3 linked regions of the Astyanax mexicanus genome follow. The protein of the gene in region 1 interacts with the protein of each later gene in a biochemical or structural test. Links are inferred from orthologs where the notes say so. Each region holds a gene or a part of one and is shown on either strand. Other genes may lie near its edges.

Region 1 (7,193 bases):
TCAGTTGCTCGATCCTGCCGCTTTGCACTTTACAACATCGGAAAAATTCGACCGTTTCTGACGCAACAGGCCACCCAACTCCTGGTACAAGCTGTGGTAATCTCACGCCTCGACTACTGCAATGCCGTACTAACTGGCCTCCCAGCCTGTGTAGTAAAACCACTACAGATGATTCAGAATGCAGCAGCACGTTTGGTCTTCAACCAACCAAAACGGGCACATGTCACTCCGCTGCTCAATGAGCTCCACTGGCTACCGGTTGCTGCTCGCATCAAATTCAAAGTGCTTACAATCGCCTACAAGGTGATGACAGTACAGGCTCCTTCCTACCTGCACTCGCTCCTGAAGGCTTACGCTACCTCCCGGCCGCTGCGCTCCTCCAATGAACATCGCCTCGCTTTGCCAAACACTCACACAAAGCAATCCAGACTGTTCTCATACAGAGTTCCCCAATGGTGGAACAAACTACCTTCCACTACCAGATCAGGAGAATCTCTCGCTATCTTTAAGAAACTCCTGAAGACAGAGCTCTTCAAAGAGCACTTACTCTCCTAACACCTCTAACAAACTAACTAATTCTAACCTCATCTCCTTCTTCCTCTTCTCTACTCCTCTATCCCATTATTTCCCTCTGACCTCCTTAAGGCCCTATCTATAGATGCTTTATTTTTAACTTCTATTATTTTTGTACTTAACCTCTTCTATTATTTGCACTTCAATATTGTAAGTCGCTTTGGACAAAAGCGTCTGCCAAATGTAATGTAATGTAATGTAAAAAAAATGTAATGTAGTACGGTTATAACCTTAAAGGGGAAGTACAAAAAAGTGAAGGCACCCTCAGAACTGAGAGCTTTTAAGAGCAAGAAGAGCAAACAACATGGTCTGCCAACAGACACAGATTACCTGAAGATCACAGGCACAGGCTGACTTGTCATGAACACCTTTGAGCTGATTAGAGATCAGGTTAGGATATAGGGCTATTTAGTTTGTAGGACAGGTGAGCTAAACCTAAAGAGAAAGTGGGTCATGCAGCAAGACAACGACCCTAAATACACAAGTTGTTGCACAAAATAATGGATCATTTGAAGCCCTGACCTTAATCCAATAGAAATGTTGTTGAAGGACATGGAGCCAGAAGTTCATAGGAGGAAATGGGTTACTGATATGCAGGACTAATCAACAGTTAGCGGAAATGTTTGGCTGCAGTTACTGCTGCACAAGGGAGTCGCAACAGATACTGATTACAACAATATTGGGTTTTCTTTCCTTAGTGAGCCCCATAAAAGAGCAAGTGTCGTTGCCTGGACATTATTAATAATCAAAAGTTCATCATGCTTCAAAAGAGTGCCATTACATTATTGTGATTTTATATTATTGTTATACAAGTGATATACAATGGTCTCAATCATTTCTGCGACAAGGCATTGTCCATAAAAACACAGGCCACATTATGACAGGCCGTTTTTTGTTTTCTCCAATAGGTCATTAGGATTTGTGTAGAATTCTGACGAAATATGCAGAAATATTGAACACTATATCTAAACTACAGCAAATGGTTTAAAATATTTTATGCACCACTGTTTTTACAGAATAGTGTACATATCATAGTGTTATGGTATTGGCATCTGTTGAGCTAATTAGCTAAGATAACTAATTAACTGGCTAATTAACTACTTAATTATAGATAGCTAATTAGTTGTTAGCTAGCTAACTGAAATCACTGGATGTATGACTGAAGCCAACATCTACAGTAGTTATTTAACCTAGTTAGGTTAGCTAGCTTCAGGTCAGCACTGTAAAACTGGAAACGACAGTTTATGAATTATTAACGCTGGACAGGACCCACATATAAATACAGCTCTGGAAAAAAATATGAGACCACTTAGACATTATGAGTTTCTTTAATTTTACCAAATTGAAAACCTCTAAAATATAAGCAAGAGGACGATAAATGATCACAAGCCATCAAACCAAGCAGAACTGCTTGAAGTTTTGCACCAGGAGTGGCACCAAGTTATCCAAAAGCAGCGTGAAAGACTGGTGGAGAAGACAATGCCAATATGCATGAAAACTGTGATTAAAAACCAGGGTTGTTCCACCAAATATTGATTTCTGAAATCTTAAAACTTTATGTATATGAATATGAACTTGCTTTTTGTTGCATTGTTTGAGGTCTGAAAGGTCTTTGCACCTTTTTTATTTCAGCCATGTCTCATTTTCTGCAAATAAATGCTCCAAACGACAATATTTTTATTTGGAATTTGGGAGAAAGGTTGTAAGTAGTTTATAGAAGAAAACAACAATGTTTATTTTACTCAAACATATACCTATAAATAGCAAAATCAGAGAAACTGTTGGTTAGTTAGTTAGATAGCTTGCTAACCTACGTTAGCTATATGTATGTATATATAACGTTGCCTACACTATCTAGCTCCTGTTATTTTAAATGTGGCTAAGCTAACTAGCGGCTAGCCATCCCATCCTAGCAACCAGGGATCAGTAGCAACGTAGCAACCTAGCTAGCTTAGCTTAGCTTAGTATATATGGCCAATTTATATATACCGTAGATTAGCTAACTAAAGCTAGCCATGGGAAAAATGAACAACACGGCTGATAATAACAGACTCTTGCCTAATTTAAGTAGGCTTAAAAAGTAGAGACTTTGTAAATGTTTTCCTCATTTCCCAGTGAACGTGTCCTAAGATATCCTAAGAAGAAAACAGCCCAAAAAACATCTGCCCCCGCCGTGCGAGGCTCTCCCTATTGTTTGTGGTGGAGCTGTTAGCTTTAGCGGAGGGCTGGACCAGCTGAACCGACTCTCACCCAGGAGCTAAAGCCTGGAAAAATACAGCCCCAGCCCCGGACTCCTTCCCTCCATTCTCCTCCATCCTCACTAATATAAACAGCATATATTCGCCCGCAGTACCTTGTATATTAGTGCTGTGTTCCCCCCGCGGTTCTCCAGCTGTTCCTTTAGGGAAACAGTCCGTTGGCGTTAGCAGGAATGTGAGACGGAGGAGAGGAGGCAGCAGCGCTCCGTTATTCCTGCTTATTCCTACCAAACCGGATATACATTACTACTGCAGACACCGTTATACTGTACACACACACGCACACACACACACACACACACACACACACACTGATCCAAACTCCACTGTCCATCCACCATCCTCTATCATCTTGACAGTTCTTCATCTGCTGTCAGACATCAAATCCGTGATTTAACGCTTTGGCTGTTTTTAAAATTTGTGTCTTGTGAAAGTTAATTGGAAAAACATGTCCAATGTGTTTTCCAGTCTCTCCAGCAGGCCAATGCCTATTAATTACAATTACAGGGTAATAATAATAAGCTTCACTTCATACACTTCATACAAAACACAGTCATATAGCTAGTAAATATAGAGCAATAAATAATTATGTACAAAACTACAATAAAAAGAAATTACAAAAGAAATAGTGGCACCAAAAAGAGAGAACTTTATGTGCATGAATGTAATGATAATATGTAATTACAATATTAAAGGAGTGAAAGAATGCATTTATGGTGGAAACAAAAAAACTGTAGAATTAAAAAGAGGCTCAATTTAATATAACCCTATTGGTAATAAAGCCTCTAGATGTTACCTCCACAATAGGTATAGTACAGTTGAGGAACAGTTGAGGTACAGTACCAGCTATGAGAGTTTACACACTCCTCTTCTCTTTCAATGTGTTTTTATTTTTTTTCTTTTTTTTTTTTTAGGATTTTTTACAATGTAAATTTAATAGTGAAGGCATTAAAGCTATGGAGCACATACAGAATTATATCGTACAACAAAAAGGTTTAAACAAAGCAGAATATGTTGTATACTTTATATTCTTGGTATTTTAATATCAGTGTCTTCATAAGGTAGAGTCATCTGGGATAGGTTTCCCAGCATCTTGAAAGAGTTCCTGGAGGTGCTAAACAATAATTCCTACTTTACCTTCATGCTGTGAAGCTCCAGCTCATCCCTAATCATCCATCTCAGATGATCAGGTTTAGGTCAGAGGATTGTGGAGGACAAACACTTTTTTGTTGATATGTAATTCCATACATGTCCTTTAATTGTTTTAATGTATTTTTCTATTCTAAAAAGTGATTGTGGCTGGCTGATGGATAGGTCACCTATAGATGTCAGGAAATTTCTCAACAACCATCCTGTTTCCCTCAGTGCCATAATGTGCCCCCTCTAGGCAAATTAAGTGAGTCAACAATTTCTCACCAAGAGGTACACTACCTCTGAGAGAATTCTTTTTTTGTAGGGCAGCAGAGGAAGCATTTTATTGGCCACATGACCAAACCTCTTAGAATTTACATATTCACCTCACAGATAATTGCTATCTGAGTTTTGCAGCAATCCAGGATGCAGGTTTGCATTTTATCAGTGGGCATAGTTGGTAGTACTGGTCAATGTATTGTGTCTTCATACTAATTCATTTGAAGATATATATGGAGGGTTTGTATACAGGATAAACAGTACACAGAAAAGCACTAAAATGTGCAGAGTGCATCCAGGGCTGGGGTTGAGAAATATTGTTTTACAGTACTGCACTCTAGTGGATATTGTTCAAAGTGCATGCTAGTTTGGTATGTTCCCAATAACACAGTTTTTGTCATATTGATACATCTTCACTGAGAAAATGTTTAAACCCTTTTTTCTAAAAGTTGTTTAATAGTTTTTATTTATAGTGCAGTTGTATCCTAAATACTAAGTAACCTGTGAATTGGCCTACCAGACATTATCCAGCTTTTATATTACAAGCTTTGGCTAAATGCTGGAGTCCAAAAAACCTTTGCCTAAATGATGAACTGCATTTCCTGAAAAAAACACAGGATAGTTGCTCAGTAAACATGGTTAATATCCATCGTTAAGGTATCCCAGATGGTTGCTATGGTGTTGCCAAGTGGTTCTGAGCTGGTTGCTATGATGTTGCTATGTGTTTACTAGCTAAAGCAAAACACCCAACAGGTAAATAACCTTTATACACACTATATTTGATAAACCACGAATTCCATAGAGTGTGGAAATCTCTATATCTTTTTCATTTTATTCAATGGTCTTTATTCAATTAATATTTGGCTCTCAGAACTACAGTGATTAATAATGTAAGTAGCACCATTTCTTATTAGAAATATAAAATCTAAGCATATATGACAGGTAATGTACATCTTTTAAAAAAAGTAAACAGCACTGCTTTTGAACATGGGTCTAAATGTATGATCACTCAAAGTTTCAAAAATTCACACCGAAAGAGTTTACAGAAAGTGTCTATGGATTACACAGAGCCAAAATTACTCATGAAAAAAAAATGCAAAAAAGAAATAAAAAGGTCTAAGAACTTTATGGCGACAATTAGCACACTAACACTAAAAAGCTTATGTTTACTTAGCAACACTTCACTTAAAGCCTGCTACCTATTACTGACATAGCCAGACCATTCATAACAATATCAGGACATATGTCATATGCTGTAACGTTTTGTCAAGACAGATTAATACGTTTAGTAATATAACAGTGACATGATATTAACTCATTAATCCATGGTAGCATGCCACTGTTTTATTCAAGAAATCCATATGACATGGCAATGCATGGCAGTAGGTCTGTCTCGATAATTATTATATAATTGATTTATCATTCAATATTTGGACATGACCAAAAATCAAAAATTTATCTTAATATTGTTATTATTCTATTATATTATCCTTATTCCGGTGGACAAAAATAATCTTAAAATGATGATAATATTGTGTATCTAATTAAAATATGTATATCGTCAAAACAAAAGTAGTTTGTGGCGGCATATGACATCTGTAATGCTATGTTTATAATTTGTCAGTTTTGTCAGTGTTATATAGTAGGCTTTAGTTAATATGTCACCGTTTTTTTTTTTTTTCTTTTATTCTACAGCAACAAGAGGGTATTAAATGCCATCTGTAAAAACCAGATATTAGTTTCAACTAAGGCACTTCATGCAGCACATGCAATGAAAGTGGTATTAAAACAGTCATAATTATTGTCGAAGTGTTGCAATGTATTTAAATGTTTACAATGTATTTAAACACAATATTAAAGTAAGAATGCTGGTAGAATTGGACTGATTCAAAATAGTTGAGGCAATCTTAGGTAGGCTGCATTTCTCCCACTGCCTTTCCTTTAAGGCATCCTCTCCTGTGGATACTTCTGATGGGCATCCGTATGGAATCAGTACCTGAAGAGGAAAAATGATATAGATATATTGATTTAGATAATTTCTTAATTTTGATGATTTATTGGATAATAATTTAGATAATTGTTTAGATACATTGAACTGTACGGTTTGTGCATTTCTAGTATAATACAGTAGAGGGCACTACCGCACCTTGTTTAAAAGAAAACCTTTTCTTTCTTTTTTCTCCACAAAAAAACAATGGCAGTACATGCTGTATATTTTCATTGTCCAATAAAATACAAGTGACTTTACAAAATAAGGCAAAATCAATGTAAAATAAAAGTTGATCTACTAATTCAAAACTAGTTTCAAACCCAAAAAGTATACAGAAGCCTAAAATATGTCTTATTTTAGGCTTCTGTATTATTTCTTTTTTCTCCCCAATTTCCACAGCCAATTACCCAACCCACTCATTGGGACTCCACCTATCACTAGTGATGCACCAACACCAGGAGGGTGAAGACTAGCACATGCCTCCTCTGATACATATAAAGTCAGCCACCACCTCTTTTCAAACTGCTGCTGATGCAGAATTGCCAAGTAGCATCACAGCGCACTCGGAGGAAAGCGCAGCGACTCAGTTCTGATACATCAGCTCACAGACGCCTTTGGAGTGATGTTGGGAGAGAGCTTCATCTACCCACCCAGAAAGAGAGCAAGGCCAATTGTGCTCTCTCAGGACTCCGGTAACCGATGGCAAGCTACATGAACAGGATTCGAACTGGCGATCTCTTGATCATAGTGGATCACTCAGAGCCCTTATGTTAGGCTTCTGTCTGTATAACATAAATGTAGAAATTACCTAACTGATATTTATTCAGCTATCTGGTTTTGCAACTATGTTGTATTGTAAATTCCATTGAGTGCACTTACATACACTGAATAATCTTATTTCTGCAGAAGAATCTGATTTTGTCAGTAATGCAATCGATGCATTTGCATGCACATGGCTAATG
Region 2 (8,037 bases), on another chromosome or scaffold:
TCAATGGTGTTTCTGTTCAACCGCATACACTAGGGCCCTAACATATGATATTTCATGGTATTTTTGCGAAAACTGTACTCAACAATATGACAAAACATTGAATAAAAAACAATATACATCAATTCATAAATACACTACTGCAACATAAAGAAAATTTAACTTCACTATACCATATATGGAACACCACAAAATAAAATGAATTTTATCAGATTTGTAACAGAAGAAATTATCCAAAATGTCATGATAGTAATAATGCACTCCAAATCAGAAGAGTGAATTATACTTTTGCTAAAAACAGCAAAAACAAATAGTACCCTGATGCAAAAACTAAGGGGTGGGTGATATGGCACAATATTTCAGGATATAATATCGTTCACAATATTCAAAAATGTTAGCAATATTTGTGTACAATATGATATGGCACGCCCCTAGCAGAGTTTAGTACTGAACACTTAGGTGAAGCTATTGTCCAAATATTCCTGCAAATATTCCATCTCAAACAATATGTAGGAATCCAAATGTCTGGGGCAGATTAGCTGCAATGATAACAGCCAGGCTCAGCAGGGCTAGAGCTGCAATGCTACCAAGAACAGCAGACAGAATGCACAGGTTAGTTGTGATGCTAACAGCCTAGCTCAGTAGGGTAGGCGAGGGTTAGCCGTGACACTAACAGCTGGGCATAGCAGTACTAGAACTTCAATGTTACCATAAACAGCAACCAGGGTCCACATGGTTTAAAGAAAGTTTGTAGCAATGCAGAAAGCCAAGCTCATCAAGGTTGGAGTAGCGATGCCACCAGCAATGGTAACAACTGGGTTCAGCAGAGTTAGAACAGGACAGCAGCTGCACTGAAGCAGTCAAGACAAATACAGGAATCACAACAGAGATGCTAACTTTTTCTTACCCAGAGATACTTGTTTTGGTCTGAGATGCTGGTGCTCTAGTGTATGGTGCTCTAGTGTACCATCTAGTGATAGAAAAAGTCACAGAGCTCATTTGAGGGTCAAACTAGTTTTTTTGTCTGTACCTAAAGCTATGCAAAAAAACACCCACATCCTCCCTTTGTAGTATAAACACTAATTCACAGGAAAATATGGGTTAGGGCCTTAACATGGATTTCTTCCCTGCCTATTTTCCATTCCTTAGATCAGTGCCCAGCTTTAATATTTCAAGACCTTACAAACAGAACTGAAATCAGACTTTTAACAAATCAAAGTTTAAGCTATTGTGGTCAACTCACAATATCAAAATGACCACAAGGAATGGAAAGTACACTGATGACCAACTTTCACAGCTTATAACTTCAGATATATAACTGTTCTCTGATTGTTGATGCTGCAGTTTAATGCTTTGTGTATGTTTTAAATCTACAGCCCTGAGATAAAGCATACTGTAGCAAAGTGAAGGAAAACAACCAGTGGAGATGACTGCACTCTGCGGTTCACAGAGAAGCATGCAATACTCCAGTCCAGTCTTTGAGTCAGTGTTGCCTGGGTGGCCAGGCGTGCCCCAGCCTGTCCAGACTGTATAGCCTGACAAGACATTTAACGGTTTACTATTAAACACACATTTACAAAACACACACACAGGATAATGCCACATTTATAAACCCATACTTTACAGGACGCTCATGTTTTCTTCCAAGCTGTACCTCCCTTCCTACCCAAGTACCACAAACATATACACATATATACACACACACACACTGCAGAACTAAGTCTGGAATCTTGGGCCAAACACAAATAAGAGTGTTTTCTTCAAAACAGAAAACTTCCATGCTTTGTCCTCTACAGCGTCTCTCAGTCTCGTGCACACACTCACACATACACACAACAATCATGGAATTTAAACAGAGGTCAGAAGCGAACAAAGCTCCTGTGAAGGGGTTTCACCCTATTCATATACGCACACAAAGCCCACGTCTGGTGTGTAGGCTGTGTGCGTGAGAGATGCATGAACTGACAACATTCCAAACAGGCTATGTGACGCAGGTGGAGAGATAGGAGTCAGCAAGTACAGCGGTGGGCTTGTGTTACCTTTAGGCTTGCTGGCCGTTCGGGCAGCTATGCATGTGAAGAGCTTGAGAACCCCCTTCCATGAGTAGACGGGCTGCAGCCTAACAGTGGGCGACATGGGGAGCTGAGGGACTCTTCATTGCGCTCCTTCCATAGAAACAAAACAGCCCATAACAGAGGGCCCCTTCAGTCCAGTCTCTGAAACTGCTTCCTCTCTCCCTCCCAACACAAGGCCAGCTGAAAATACTCCTCCAAATGGTTGTTAGGTGTTAGGTCCACTCATGGAGACCCCCTGAACACATGAAGGACAGAGGGTGCACAGAGGCCTGACTGACCACTTACACAGTTTCTCTCATATACTCACAGGCACACAAATAATCCAAGTGATTGTACACTGACCACTGTGCAGGAGACTTACAGGAGTCTTACAGAGGGGGTGAGAAAAAAAATCCTCTTTAGAGTGCAACCCAGGAAACACACTCACATACACACACACACACACACAAGGGGTAGAAAAAAAAAAAAAAAAGATTAATATTCAAAAAACAAAAACCCCAAAAAATAGGCACTGTAATCCATGAATGTTACACAAGTGTGTCCAGCTTCAAGTAGTAGTCAGGAAGTTCCTTTGAGATGGAGCCCAAGGAGAGAGGGAGAAAAAGGGAAAATGAGAGGAAGAGAGAAAAACAACAAGAACGCAGAGGCAAGTTTCCCCCCTTGTCTACGAATGCATTCCAGCGCCAGTGTGAGGGACCACTCCCACAGCCTGCTGAAGAATCCAGTGAGAACTCCAGAAGCGATACAGAAGAGAAGAGCAGAGCAAACTCCCTAAGGTCAAACAGAGCAAACTACTCTCAGCAAAGAATCAGAGAGAGCGAAAGAACGCAGAGTGCTGCCTGCCTGCACTTTTGCCACTGCAGCCTGTGGGCTCAGGAGTCGAATGTCAGGCTGAAGTCAGCATGCTGGCTCACTCCCCCTGTGTGCGAGTGTCTCTCACCCTCTCTCCTGAAGAGAAGGAGTAGGGCCTGCTCTTGGGTCTGCCTCGTGTCAGATTACACACAGCTCCTCCTCCTCCAACCATGCGGTTCAGACAAAGAGACATTACAATACAGCAGCACTACACCAAAACCTACAGAAGAGGGCACAGCAGGAGAGCAGTAAGGGAACGACAAGTTTCACTTACTCCTAATTTGCAAAACAAAAACTTCAAAGCGAACAGCCTTGTAACAAGAATTTGTATTGCTTTATCAAGCAGGAAATTATCTAAAAAAAAGATTTAATACATGGATGACAGTATTGGGACACATGTTCATTCATGTTTTTTTTATATTAAGTACTTTAGTACAAAAAAGAAATCCTGAGACTTTATCCTGCTTGTGTTTGAGTATTTACTGTAACTTCTACTGTCCAGGAAAGCCTTTCTACTCCAGATTCTGGAGCATCCCTGTGACAACTGGATTTAATTCAGATACAAGAGCACTGCTAATTTTAGAGGTTCAGTTTTTCAAATAAAAACCAGACTTTCTTTTTGATGGAAAATCTTAACTCAAAATGCTGTTTAGTCCAAGACTAGGGTTAATTCCTGTCTGTTAAGTAACTGTAGCAGGATGTTTGATGAACACCACATACCAAATGCACCCAAAATCACCAAAAGTACTGGATAGAATGACATAATTCCTGAAAAAACATTTTCACTGCTCCACAGCGCTACATGATTGGGGTGCTTTATAACCCTCTTGCCAATGCCTGGCTTTGAGCAAGGTACAAACAGGTCCACCTCCAAGGAGCCCTATTATATTGGCAGTAATTTCTTACAGGGACTAGACAAATTGTAAGCGCATGCAATGTGAGGAACTGAGAGATATTTGCTGATTTCATTTAAAAGGGAAGTTCACAAATATTTGGTGTATCATAGGCCAACAGAAATACCTTGCAATTACCCAGACAATGAAAACTCTTTACAGGAGAAGGCAAAAATAGTTTAAAGCTAAAAACAGATCTATGTTTGACTGGTTTCACTTCCCTCATATTCCAAACCAATAACTTTTTTTAGACAGAATGGCATAGTCTGACATACCTGTTGCTGCAACTGATGAACTAATCTTGCAATCCGTCACAGTTTTTGCTTGTAAGCTTTTATGTCATGATTTTCGTGCTTACATTAACCCCTAGCCACAGACAAACAAACCACAAACCCACAACAAACTAGACAACCATATCTATGTTTTATGTTGTCTTTTTTACACTGATCAAAAATGTTGTGTGAATGAAGTAAGTCAACCACTTCAAGTGCCTTTAAGACATCTTCAATTCACCACAAGCATGTTGTATACCAAACACTTACAGTTAGCGTAAGTACAATAAGTAAAGTGACCTTACAGCATATAGAGCACCAGCTAATACCACAGATGCCTTGTACAGTGAAGTAAAAACAGCAGCAGACATTTAAGGGCTTTGATTGGCTTATTTGACATTTGAGCCCACCTGGTACTATCCAAATACCCAACAGAAGAAACCTCAGGTCTGATATTTCATCTGCTAAAGCTTATGCTAATGCTTATCATCATTCTACTGAACTTTCTCAGTAGCTTCACATAATGTACATGTGCTCAGATCAAATTCACAAAAAGGGCAGGGGGGATAGCCTTTATGAAGACTTTCAAAAGAGAAAATTCACTCATCCTTCTCAGCCACCCAATGAGCGCAAGAACTGATACAACAATGATGTTTTGGCTCTACCTAAGACTTAATGACACAGCAAGCCTAACAAAACAGATTGCTCTCTTGAAAAGTCAATGGCCATGTGATTACCCTTTGTGTTTCAAGTTTCACCTTTACACAGGGTAGATGCAAAGGCATCGTGCCACCGCAGCTCATTCAACCAGGTCGCAAAAACAAAACCCACAATAATCTCGCTAGAAACACAACAGAGAAACACATTTAATAAATTCCTGAGAGCAAGATTACTCATCTACGAGCTGATCCAACAGCAGGAAGCTTAAATATATACAGAGTAAATACAGACCCTTTTCATTACTGAGCATGACTCATGGCTTTTACAGACTCACCTTTTCATCAATGAAACCAGAGCAGAAAACCAGGAGCACATTTTCAACAAATAAACTGAAAGAATACTGGAATAAATGTCATAAACAACTCTAAATTCCACTCAACACTTCTTCCATTCAAGTAGAGAAGAGAAACTCAGAATTCACAAAACAATATATAGTTGATATATAGTCTATAAATGTTTTTACAACTGACTACCCTTAAACTGACTTAAACTCACATTTGTAGAGCGTGATAAACTAACATTCCTCATGTAAGAAGCAGAGAAAACACTTAAAACCACTAACCGGATACACACAGTGTACATCACGAATACTCATATGGTGGGCATCACACGATCGTAGAACTAACCAAACACTGCTAATCACACAAAACAGAAAACTGTGCAGATGACATTTAACCACAACCAATACTACAGCAGCAAAGTATCACCAAACTAAAGGAATTTAGTCCAAAGTAATTGAGATTTTAGCAAAAATGTTTCTGGTTGTTTTTTCATATTAAGCTCCACAGTGCAGTTCTGCACAATATAGTTCTGCATGGGATTTCTACAGCTTTTTATAAGTAGTTGATGCCAAAATTAAACCATGTCTTTTTAAGAGGCAGTGCACAGAACATTACAGAAGCCCGGCACAATGATGCACTATTATTAAGTGTGTCTAGGTAAAATGTGAAATCCTGCATTCCCCCTCAATTGGTATCAGGATTTGACGGACTGAACTGAAAGACGATTGGTATTGCCACAAAAATACTGATTAATCAATAATCTTTCATAATTACATTTGTGCATCTTGCAGACTAAGGTTATGACTTATTTAACTATTTAACTGTGTAAGTGAATCCAGTTGTAGTCTTCCCCTTGAACTGAAAAGGCAGGGGGATGTCTCAAAGAAATGAACTGAAAGTATTATTGATTTATCAAAGCCCAGGGGCTTATTAGTGAAGTGTGGTGTTCTGGCTCAAGCAGGGAATCGAACCACAGTCTGCTGTGCTGTGGGCAGAAGTGTAAGCCCACTACCACTATCGATTAAATTGAACAAAAAAAAAAAAAAAAAGGATTTGACATACAGAGCAAGTTACATTAGCTTGAAACAACTTAACACGCTACACAATAAACAAAAAAAGGCCAAAAGGACACAGGACAGCATTTACATCTATGTGTGATTTTCCTGGCACAACATTTACATGGAGTCGCTCAAACTCTTGGCAGAAGCAGGACGCATGAGCTGGACTTCAGTCAGCAGCAGGATGCAAAACAGGTTCCCAGTGGAAAGTTCTTTCACTAATCACTACTGGAGAACACGCCTTGGTGACAGAGCAAACACTTTCACATTAAAGCCCCTAATCAATGCCATTGTTTTCAAGTGACAAAATGGTTGTGGACCAAGCCATCAAAACAGATGGCCTTTTTCTGCCCTTTTGCCACAAAGAACAAACTAACCCCTTTTACATTCACAACCCTGTACAAATACACATTTCTGACTAGCCACAACACTGTGCTAAAAAGCCTAAAATAGGGTGATCAAGCATAAATGAGCACACCTCACAATACTTAAATGACTCTTATTCAAACGTTTCACAAACTGCACCAAACCCAATTAACAGAGACTAATTTTACTCTTAGAAATGAATACTGCAGTTTGTCTGCATGCAGTTTTTTTTGCACTCAATTTAAACCTTGATGCTAAATACTGGCAAACCATAATACATGGTCCAAACCATATTTGTGTTTATATAGCTAATACAGCCATTAGAGGTGGGAAATATGGCCATAAACTAATAGATCACAATATTCATCAACAATAATAATATTCCTGAGACAAGCATTGCATTGCAAAGCATTGCATTTAATTCGAAAATATACTACTGTTACAAACCTACTAGTTTTAATTTGCTAAAATATTGCAGTTTCATAATTTTGTATAATATGATAAGTGTAAAAAATCAAAAAATAAATGTAATAACAAAAGTGCATGCATTTAAAGTGCAAACAATTAAAAGTATATAGGTTAAATAGAAAACAACCACAAAAAACACTTCTTTCAAGAAAGACACGAATATCCTGATGTGATTTAATCATTTCAAATATGTTGCTGATATTATTGTGCACTGTATGATATAGCACACCCCCAACAGCCATACAAACTCCAAAAAGCAAGATACATGTCATCATTGTGTTTATAACTTCATACATTTGATTACATCAATATGTAATCAGTATTAGGTCTAAATTGCTCATTGAGTAATCTCTACATACCAGACATAATTCCAGAGTTTAGATATGACAGGGCTGAATATCTCCCCAGCATGGTTTTGGAAGCATGGGGGACAAATGGAAGATAAACAAATATTGGATAATCAATGCACTATAACGATTCATGTTATTTTTCATGTACAGATGTAAAATAATTACACAATACAGACATCCAAATTCATTTATCATAATTTTGTAGGTACAGACATCGTTTGTGGGCATTCCTGGTAGTTTTATGTGGCTTTTATGTTGGTCATAAAGATATCAGAATTAAATTGTACGGGCTGAAATAAAAATATATATATATATTGTGATCATATACAAGAAACTTAGGCCCTACTGTTGAGCCCTATGTTACTTCCCACTTAAAAAGTGGAATAAACCTACAATAATGCGCCTTGATAACAAGCATTAACAAAGCTTACCTGTAGGTTTCTAACCACCAACATGAGCTTGTTTATTATTCTGGTTTACACAGACTTCTGCTACCATGTTACTTGCTAAACTGAAACTCTGTTACAGGAGAAAGAGGCCACAGATATTGATGTAGTAGTTGTGGTAAGGGTCCAGGTCAATACTCCTCAATCTCTTCTGAGGGTCTCATGTATCAACTATCCTGGAAACAGCCGGCAACGAGGCATCTACATCATAACCTTGCAGAATAAATTGGACAAAGAAAGGAAAAGGCTTGTTATGCAT
Region 3 (7,393 bases), on another chromosome or scaffold:
AACGTCGGAGCCGCATTATTTGAAAACGGCAGGTCTGCCCACTGGGAGGTGAGACCTGTAAAGCTAAGCTAAGTAAACAAAACTAATTAAAAAGGAAAAAAAAATTCAAGCAAACAAGTGCTGCATGTTAATCTAAACAAATTTCTCTGCTAAAAACTGTTTATTTGGGTGAGTAAAGTGGTTCCGTTTATTTACAGTAAGCTTAAATTTCCAGGTTTCCACAAAAGCTGGAGAATTAGCGGTTAGCGGCTAATGCCACCTGACAGCGCTACACTGAGGAACCCAGAGTGCTCCAGTAAGACAGGGCGATATCAGCTAGCGGTTTGTTCCACGTAGTTTGTTTTAATACGGTTAACGTGCAGGCTACAGTCCAGTTTACTCCCATCTGAACGGCAAAAGTGCTAGAGCTGTGGTTCGCAGGTAATGCTGATGCTGCTCCAGCAGTGGTATCCAGCGTTAGCAGCAGGCTACAGGCCGATAATACTCAACTCTGAACGGCCAAAGAGCTAGCACTCAGCAAGTGTAGCGGCTAATGCTAATACTGCTCCAGAGAACTAAACTAAGGCTGTGACCGAAATGGCTCCCTACTCCCTCATTAGTGTTGCGCTATTTAGGGAGACACTATGTAGTTCACTAAGTAGTGGTAAAACAGGAGTGAATTCGGACACTAACTTATTATCATGCCCCAGCACCGGTCGCATAAACACACACACAGGTGAGAGAGGGTTGAGTCATGTTTAAAACTCCATAAACACACTGAACTGATCTATGAATTAAAGTTAGTGAAGCTCTGAGCTGATCATGAAGTCATTTCTCTGCCTGTATATTTACACTGTTTAAAAGATAATCCTCACATTATTGAATTACATGAAGAAAACCTGAAATTAACAGAATACATCGGCTCGGGTGTTGCCAGATTGGGTGGTTTCATGCCAAAGGTCGAGTTGTGTCTGAAATTCTATGGAGGAAATGCTGTACTAAGAGTTTGGGAATTGAACTCACCAGTGCTGTAGTTAAAAATCTAACCTGGCAGAGACAGACAGAGCTTTTAGTCCTGCTGATTTGAAGCTGTGTTTATGCTTGTTATTATATGTGAGTATTTACTTCTTTCATTGCTTGCAAGCTTATTTTTATGTACTATACTTCTTTTTTTGGTTCGTGTGTCCAATGATACAAGGCACAAAACACAGAATACAAACATGCAGATAAACTCAGTTAAATATCGTTTTTTTTTTTTTGTAATAAGTGAGACCTCAGGTATTTTATTTAAGATCATGTTGGAATAAACCCTGTTATATTGTTGATATGAAGAACATCAGCTGTTTGGGTGGTTTTCTCAGTATTTTGGCGGATTTAAAACACGTTTTACCCAGTGAATTTGTTTTATCTGAATCCCACTGTAACAATCTGGCAACCGTGGTGGCTCGCTGTCCTCTCAGTTTCTTCGGCTGTCTGTTGCTTAGTATCGAGACCCGCAATGCATTTTTGGACACATTTAACTCGCTTAGTAAGAAGCGATGTTTACTATAAATCAAGATGCATTATGGGAGTTTTTAGTGCCCTCAAAATTACGTTCGAATTCCCCCTTACGATTTAAGAAAAATGGCTGATACACTCAATAGTGCCCTAACTAGTAAATAGTGAGCCATTTCGGTCACAGCCTAAAACTCCTGTATAAAGCTGTGCTTCAGCGGGGTGGCTTTACTGCTCCTTACAACCTGACTGAAAATTTCATACATAAGGTGCACAAAGTATAAGTTGCGCTGACGATTTTGGGGAAATTGAAAAATTTTAAGTGCGCCTTATAGTGCAAAACAATGTAAACTTTTTAAGGACAATTTTATCACATAAAAGTTCAGTATGAGTTTTTAATTTGTCAACACAAAATTAATGTTTTAGTAGCAAATTTCACTGAAGTACAGTTTTGTTGCAGAAATTTAGGCTCAGAGAACAAATTAAGTAAAAGCAGTTTTATAAAAAATGTTTATTAATTTTATTAATTTTAATAAAAAAAGCACAGTTTCATAAAATAATACTAAGCATATATTTTTATTTAGTAAGTTACATCACTAGTACACAATTAGCACAGCCAAATAAAGTATAGTTGTTGTTTTTTATAAAATGTACTGAAATACAGATTAAGCAGGTAAAAATAAGCATAAAGAGCATAAGCTTTTTCTCCTTTGGTTCAAAGTCTTTCCTCAAAGTCTCGCGAGACTCGGGCTCCAAATGTCAACGACCCAGCGCACCTACAGTGTTTATACTGACTTTTGGGGGCGTTTTATCAGTAAACGCTGTTTTAGCATTCCTGTCCTGACCTGAACACGATAATCCTACCTGGCTGTAGTAAAATAATTAACTTCACTTTGTTTATAGACTCGACCGGGCAGCGGCTGTGCTACAAACACAACACAAACACAGCTTTATAAAACTCCAGCGCGCGGGACACACAGCCGACCGCGCTCACAAAACACAAACACGCTGAATTTCAGTTATGACTTACCGATCATTATGAGGACTCGTTCAGCAGCAGCAGAGTCTCATTCCGCTCAGCTCAACTCCAGCACAGGGTGACTTTATTCACAACACTGTTCAACCATGATACTGAGCGTGTACGAGACCGCGGGGGAGTCTGGGAAATGGAGTCCAGAACATAGTTTACTCTGACAGATCAAGTGACTTACACGCAAATATAGGTATCCCAAGTCATAGCATATAAATTACCTATTGTTTTCTATGTTTTGTGATTAAATAGAAGCATTTATTGAGGTTAAACAAAGTAAATAAGAGAGGGAGTTATGTGGAGAGACACTACATTTCCGCTAGTGCCGTTCAGCGCTCGGTGTGTTGACGGAACTGTGGATATGGAGAACTGTGCAGCGAACAGATGGTGCTAACGCGCTGTTTAACCTCTTATTTATGTGGATTTTGTGACTGAAGCTCCGGTTTTAATCGCGTCCAGTACCCGGGGAATGATGCAGGGAGTGTCCGGTGTTGGTGCGGTTCAGTTCGGCCATGAAGCCCCGCGGAGCGACTGTTTAGCGGGTCAGCTGGCGCGGAGTGACGCTGTTGATAGTTATGTAAGACTGCAGAGTATTCACACCCTCACAGGCGCGCTCAGAGCCGTGTGTTAGCGCTGTACAGAGATTTTACACGTTAGAAATGACAGTAAAGCTGCTGAATGAGAGCTTGTGTGTTGCGTGTGTGTGTTTTCACTGATGCAGGGGGAGGAGGTGTGTGTGTGTTCGGCTGCTGTTTTGGTGGGGTTTCCACTGATGCTGTGATGCTCAGTGAACCGCTTCAGCAGCAGCAGCAGCGTTAGCTTAAAACACACAGAAACAGATACAGCTAAGCTAAGCTATATTTTGCCTTGTTAATATATTTAATAGTAATTTATTATTTAACCAGTGGCAGAATAAATATACACAGTGCAAAATAGCACATTTGTAAAAAATCCCATTCATACTGTTATATTACATTTTTATTAAAGACAGGGATTGAATATATACAGCTCTGGAAAAAAAGAAAAAAAAGAGACCACTTCAGTTCATTTTCTCAGATTTTGCTATTTATAGGTATATGGTTGAGTGAAATGAACATCATTGTTTTATGCGATTAACTACGCACAACATTTATCCCAAATTCCAAATAAAAAAATTGTCAGTTAGAGCATTTATTTATTTATTTAGAGGAGAAAATGAGAAATGGCTGAAATAACCAAAAATAAGTTTTAAGACCTTAAAACAATGTAAAGAAAACAAGTTCATATTCATGAAGTTTTAAAAGTTCAGAAATCAATATTTTGTGGAATAACCCTGGTTTTTAATCATAGTTTTCATGCATCTCAGCATGTTCTCCTCCACCAGTCTTACACACTGCTTTTGGATATGCCACTCTTAGTTTAGCTTGGTTTGATGGCTTGTGATCATCCATCTTCCTCTTGATTATATTCCAGAGGTTTTAATTTTGGTAAAAATCAAAGAAACTCATTATTTTTAAGTGGTCTCTTATTTTTTTCCAGAGCTGTAATATATATATCTCAAAAAATTAGAATATTATTGAAAAGATAATTTATTTTTAGTAATTCTGTTCAAAATGTGAAACTCCTATTATATAGATGTATTACACACAGAGTGATCTATTTTAATGGTTTATTACTTTTATTGTTGACTACAGCCAATGAAACCCCCAAAATCAGTGTTAAGAAAATAAGAATATTATATAAGACCAATTGGTACTTTTGGCAGTGTGGGCAGTATGGCATGTCCTGCTGGAAAATGAAATCCACATCTCCATAAAAGTTGTCAGCAGAGGAAAGCATGAAGTGCTGTGGGATTTCATGGTAAAACAGTGGACCAACACCAGCAGATGACATGTCTCTCCAAACCATCACTGATTGTAGAAACTTCACACTAGACCTCAAGCAGCTTGGACTGTGTCTCTCCACTCTTCCTCCAGACTCTGCTTCCTTTATTTCCAAATTAATTGCAAAATTTACTGATGATCAGTGATGGTTTGGAGAGACATGTCATCTGCTGGTGTTGATCCACTGTGTTTTATCAAGTCAGTGCAGTGTTTTCCCATGAAATCCCACAGCACTTTATGCTTTCCTCTGCTGACAACTTTTATGGAGATGTTGATTTCATTCTGAATCACTCCATGACTGTCTTGCTTGACTACCTTCCACGTTCATACCTGACCACTCATTCCCTCTGGTTGCAACAGTTTTTTTGATGATGAGTGTACAGTATATCACAGAACATTGTGCAATACTACTTTTCATGTGTAAATAATAAGGATGCATGATGATATTGAGATTATATAAGTATCTGCCAATAATAAATGTTTTTTTTTTATATAAACATTAGTATTGGCTGATTAGTGTCGAACAACGCTAGCCATACTACTACAGTTTGCCGGCACTGGCTGCTCTACTTTAAAATTCATTGATTTTTTTATTACTTTTAAAGATATAAAAATATACTGGGTGTTTAGTCTCTCTGTAAGTTATAAATGTGTATATCGGCGTTGGCATCGGCAGATATCTACATGTATGATATCGGATATCGGCATAGAGCCCAGAATTCCCACATCGGTGCTTCCCCAATGATTAAACACTTTCTTGACAATAATAATAATTGGGAATATTTTTTTTCCTCACTTTTTACTCAGTTTTCAGTATATAGACTCATGTATACAGTACATTGTAAATGAACACATTTGTTTATATACTACATCAGATTCCTTTACTTCAAGTGTAGAACGTTCAGTTTTAAGAACAGTGCAGTATTGTTGATTTCACGGAACCCCTAAGGTGTCATAATGGTGTCAAAAATGCATGGCTATGACTTATTAAGCCAAGAGAATGAGATCCTATGGTGTGGCCACAACTTATTAGGTGTGGGAATGAGATAATTAAGTCTTAGCCAGAAAATAATACAGCTTTCATTTCACTAAATTAATGTCCATGAAGAAGACTGAAAATTACTTCAAAGCTCCAATCCAGGTATAATATTTTGTAAAAAAAAAAAAAAAAAAAAAGTTTCTCTTCATTTTCATTTTGGAATTAATTATGGTGGTATTTTGGAGTCTCTTGCAGTGAGATATGTCATAAATCTAAGTAAAAGACACATTAAATTCTCATACTAAAAACTGATTGGCTCAGACGCAGAAAGTATTCAGACCTGTTTACCTTCCTTGGGCAGTTATATTGAGCACAACCCCTGAGAGTTGCTTGCTTTGTTTAGGAACAAAAGGATCTTGTGGCCACGCCTTAATGGCTACGATTGAATTAACTCGTTCCCACGCCTTATTAAGTCCTGGCTATGACTTTATTTTCTCGTTCCACACATTAGGATCTCATTCCCACACATTAGGTTTTCATTCCCATACCTTAAAAAGTCATTTTCTAGATTTCTCTATTGCTTGAAAATTATAGAAACTGTTTAACGTAGAATTTAAGTGCCATTTAAATGACAGGAAGCCTTTTAATTGTGAAATGTTCTAATATTTAGTGAGTAAATATGTAATCGGATTTTGATGACCTAGCCGAGTGTAAACTGAGTGAGCAGCCCTTAACTCTCCCCACCAAGTTGTGTAGTGTGGTCTACTTATAAAATATAAAAATATAAAGAAATAAATTTGTTTTTGACATATATACAATATAGATAATGATGACTAACTGTTGCTCTAGAAGACAGCTGGGAAATTGAGTAAACAAGCTTATCACTTGCCAGGTGGCTATGGCACATGTGCTAGACTGTACCTAAAAAGGCTGTTTCTTTATCTAAGATCTATAGATAATATACTGAATTTTCCCAATAATACTTTTTATTGTTGGACTCTTTGTGATGGTATTTTTTAATACTTTTATTTTATTATTTTTTTATTTCCTGCAATCCAGGAAATAAAACCAGTGAGATATAATCTATACAGGTCCTTAGACATTATAGTGAGCACTGTGGGTTTTTATGCTTTAGAGAAAAGTATATTGTGCACAGTGCATTGTTAAATGCAAACCCCACATTTTGAGGCTTTAGGCTTACCAGATCTTATTAAAGAAGGTTCACAGTGTCATACAGATTTCAGTGTGCAGGATCTGTGTTTACATTTTAATAGCACATTCAGAGATGAAGCGATTTAACACGTGAAAGCAGGATTAGATCTGTCCCAGAACAGCTTGCCCTGTTTGCGCGTGTGTCTTGCGGAGACGTCGGCTCTGCAGCCTTTAATAAATGCATGGACCTGTTAAATCTGTGGAAACGGTAAATGATGTAAACCTCATTAATATTCAAATTGAAACAGCATCAATGTAATGTTTTCTGCATCTCTTCAAATATGATGTGGCATATTACAACCTAAGTTGCACCGTAAAATGATTGACTAAACACGATTCAATTTGCATATTAATGAGCGAGATGGCAGATTATAATATTTGGCCCTTTTTGCCTTTTCCCTTCAGGGAGTAACTGTAATTTCAGACGTTTGCTTTTCCAGAAATAACTGATAGCTTTGAAAAAAAAACAAACAGATAACTTTAAGAACAATGGAGCGTGATTTAGTCTTATTGTTGATCCTACGCTCCATGTTCTGGGAGTGATATTTTCCTTTCTGGGTAAAGCAAATGGAAAAAGTGACCAAAGTAATTTAGCAAAAATTAGGTTAATTTGCCCCTTTTGCTCTGGCCTGTCCCACAGGGTGTCACCTTTATATAAAACCTGTGTAGATTCAGTGTGGGTGTAGAAATGTCAGCCTGATAGAACATTATCATTTTGCTGTAAAAGGGTGCTGCCGGATTTTAAGAATTTCAGTATGCATTATTATTATTATTATTGTGTTATTCTGATTTCAAATGTCAGATACTTTTGCGAGTGGATGAAGGGTATAATTAGGC

Evidence for each region.
Region 2: the proteins of synphilin-1 (region 1) and siah1 form a complex in vitro, tested with the Homo sapiens proteins (2 studies listed by BioGRID, with this or other methods). The link is inferred for Astyanax mexicanus from reciprocal best matches to the Homo sapiens genes SNCAIP and SIAH1.
Region 3: of the proteins of synphilin-1 (region 1) and prkn, one has a biochemical effect on the other in vitro, tested with the Homo sapiens proteins (3 studies listed by BioGRID). The link is inferred for Astyanax mexicanus from reciprocal best matches to the Homo sapiens genes SNCAIP and PRKN.

Annotation. Positions count from the first base shown.
Region 1 is NC_064419.1:36,793,584-36,800,776, forward strand, and holds the start of synphilin-1, read right to left. Parts: upstream 3,086-7,193; 5' UTR 2,927-3,085; intron 1-2,926. Other genes in the region: protein-lysine 6-oxidase, read right to left, coding at 6,231-6,237. UniProt on the Homo sapiens protein: Isoform 2 inhibits the ubiquitin ligase activity of SIAH1 and inhibits proteasomal degradation of target proteins. Isoform 2 inhibits autoubiquitination and proteasomal degradation of SIAH1, and thereby increases cellular levels of SIAH.
Region 2 is NC_064416.1:23,271,617-23,279,653, reverse strand, and holds the start of siah1 (E3 ubiquitin-protein ligase Siah1), read right to left. Parts: upstream 3,028-8,037; 5' UTR 2,134-3,027; coding exon 2,037-2,133; intron 968-2,036; coding exon 905-967; intron 1-904. UniProt on the Homo sapiens protein: E3 ubiquitin-protein ligase that mediates ubiquitination and subsequent proteasomal degradation of target proteins.
Region 3 is NC_064414.1:19,273,409-19,280,801, reverse strand, and holds the start of prkn (E3 ubiquitin-protein ligase parkin), read right to left. Parts: upstream 3,076-7,393; 5' UTR 2,511-3,075; coding exon 2,504-2,510; intron 1-2,503. UniProt on the Homo sapiens protein: Functions within a multiprotein E3 ubiquitin ligase complex, catalyzing the covalent attachment of ubiquitin moieties onto substrate proteins. Substrates include SYT11 and VDAC1.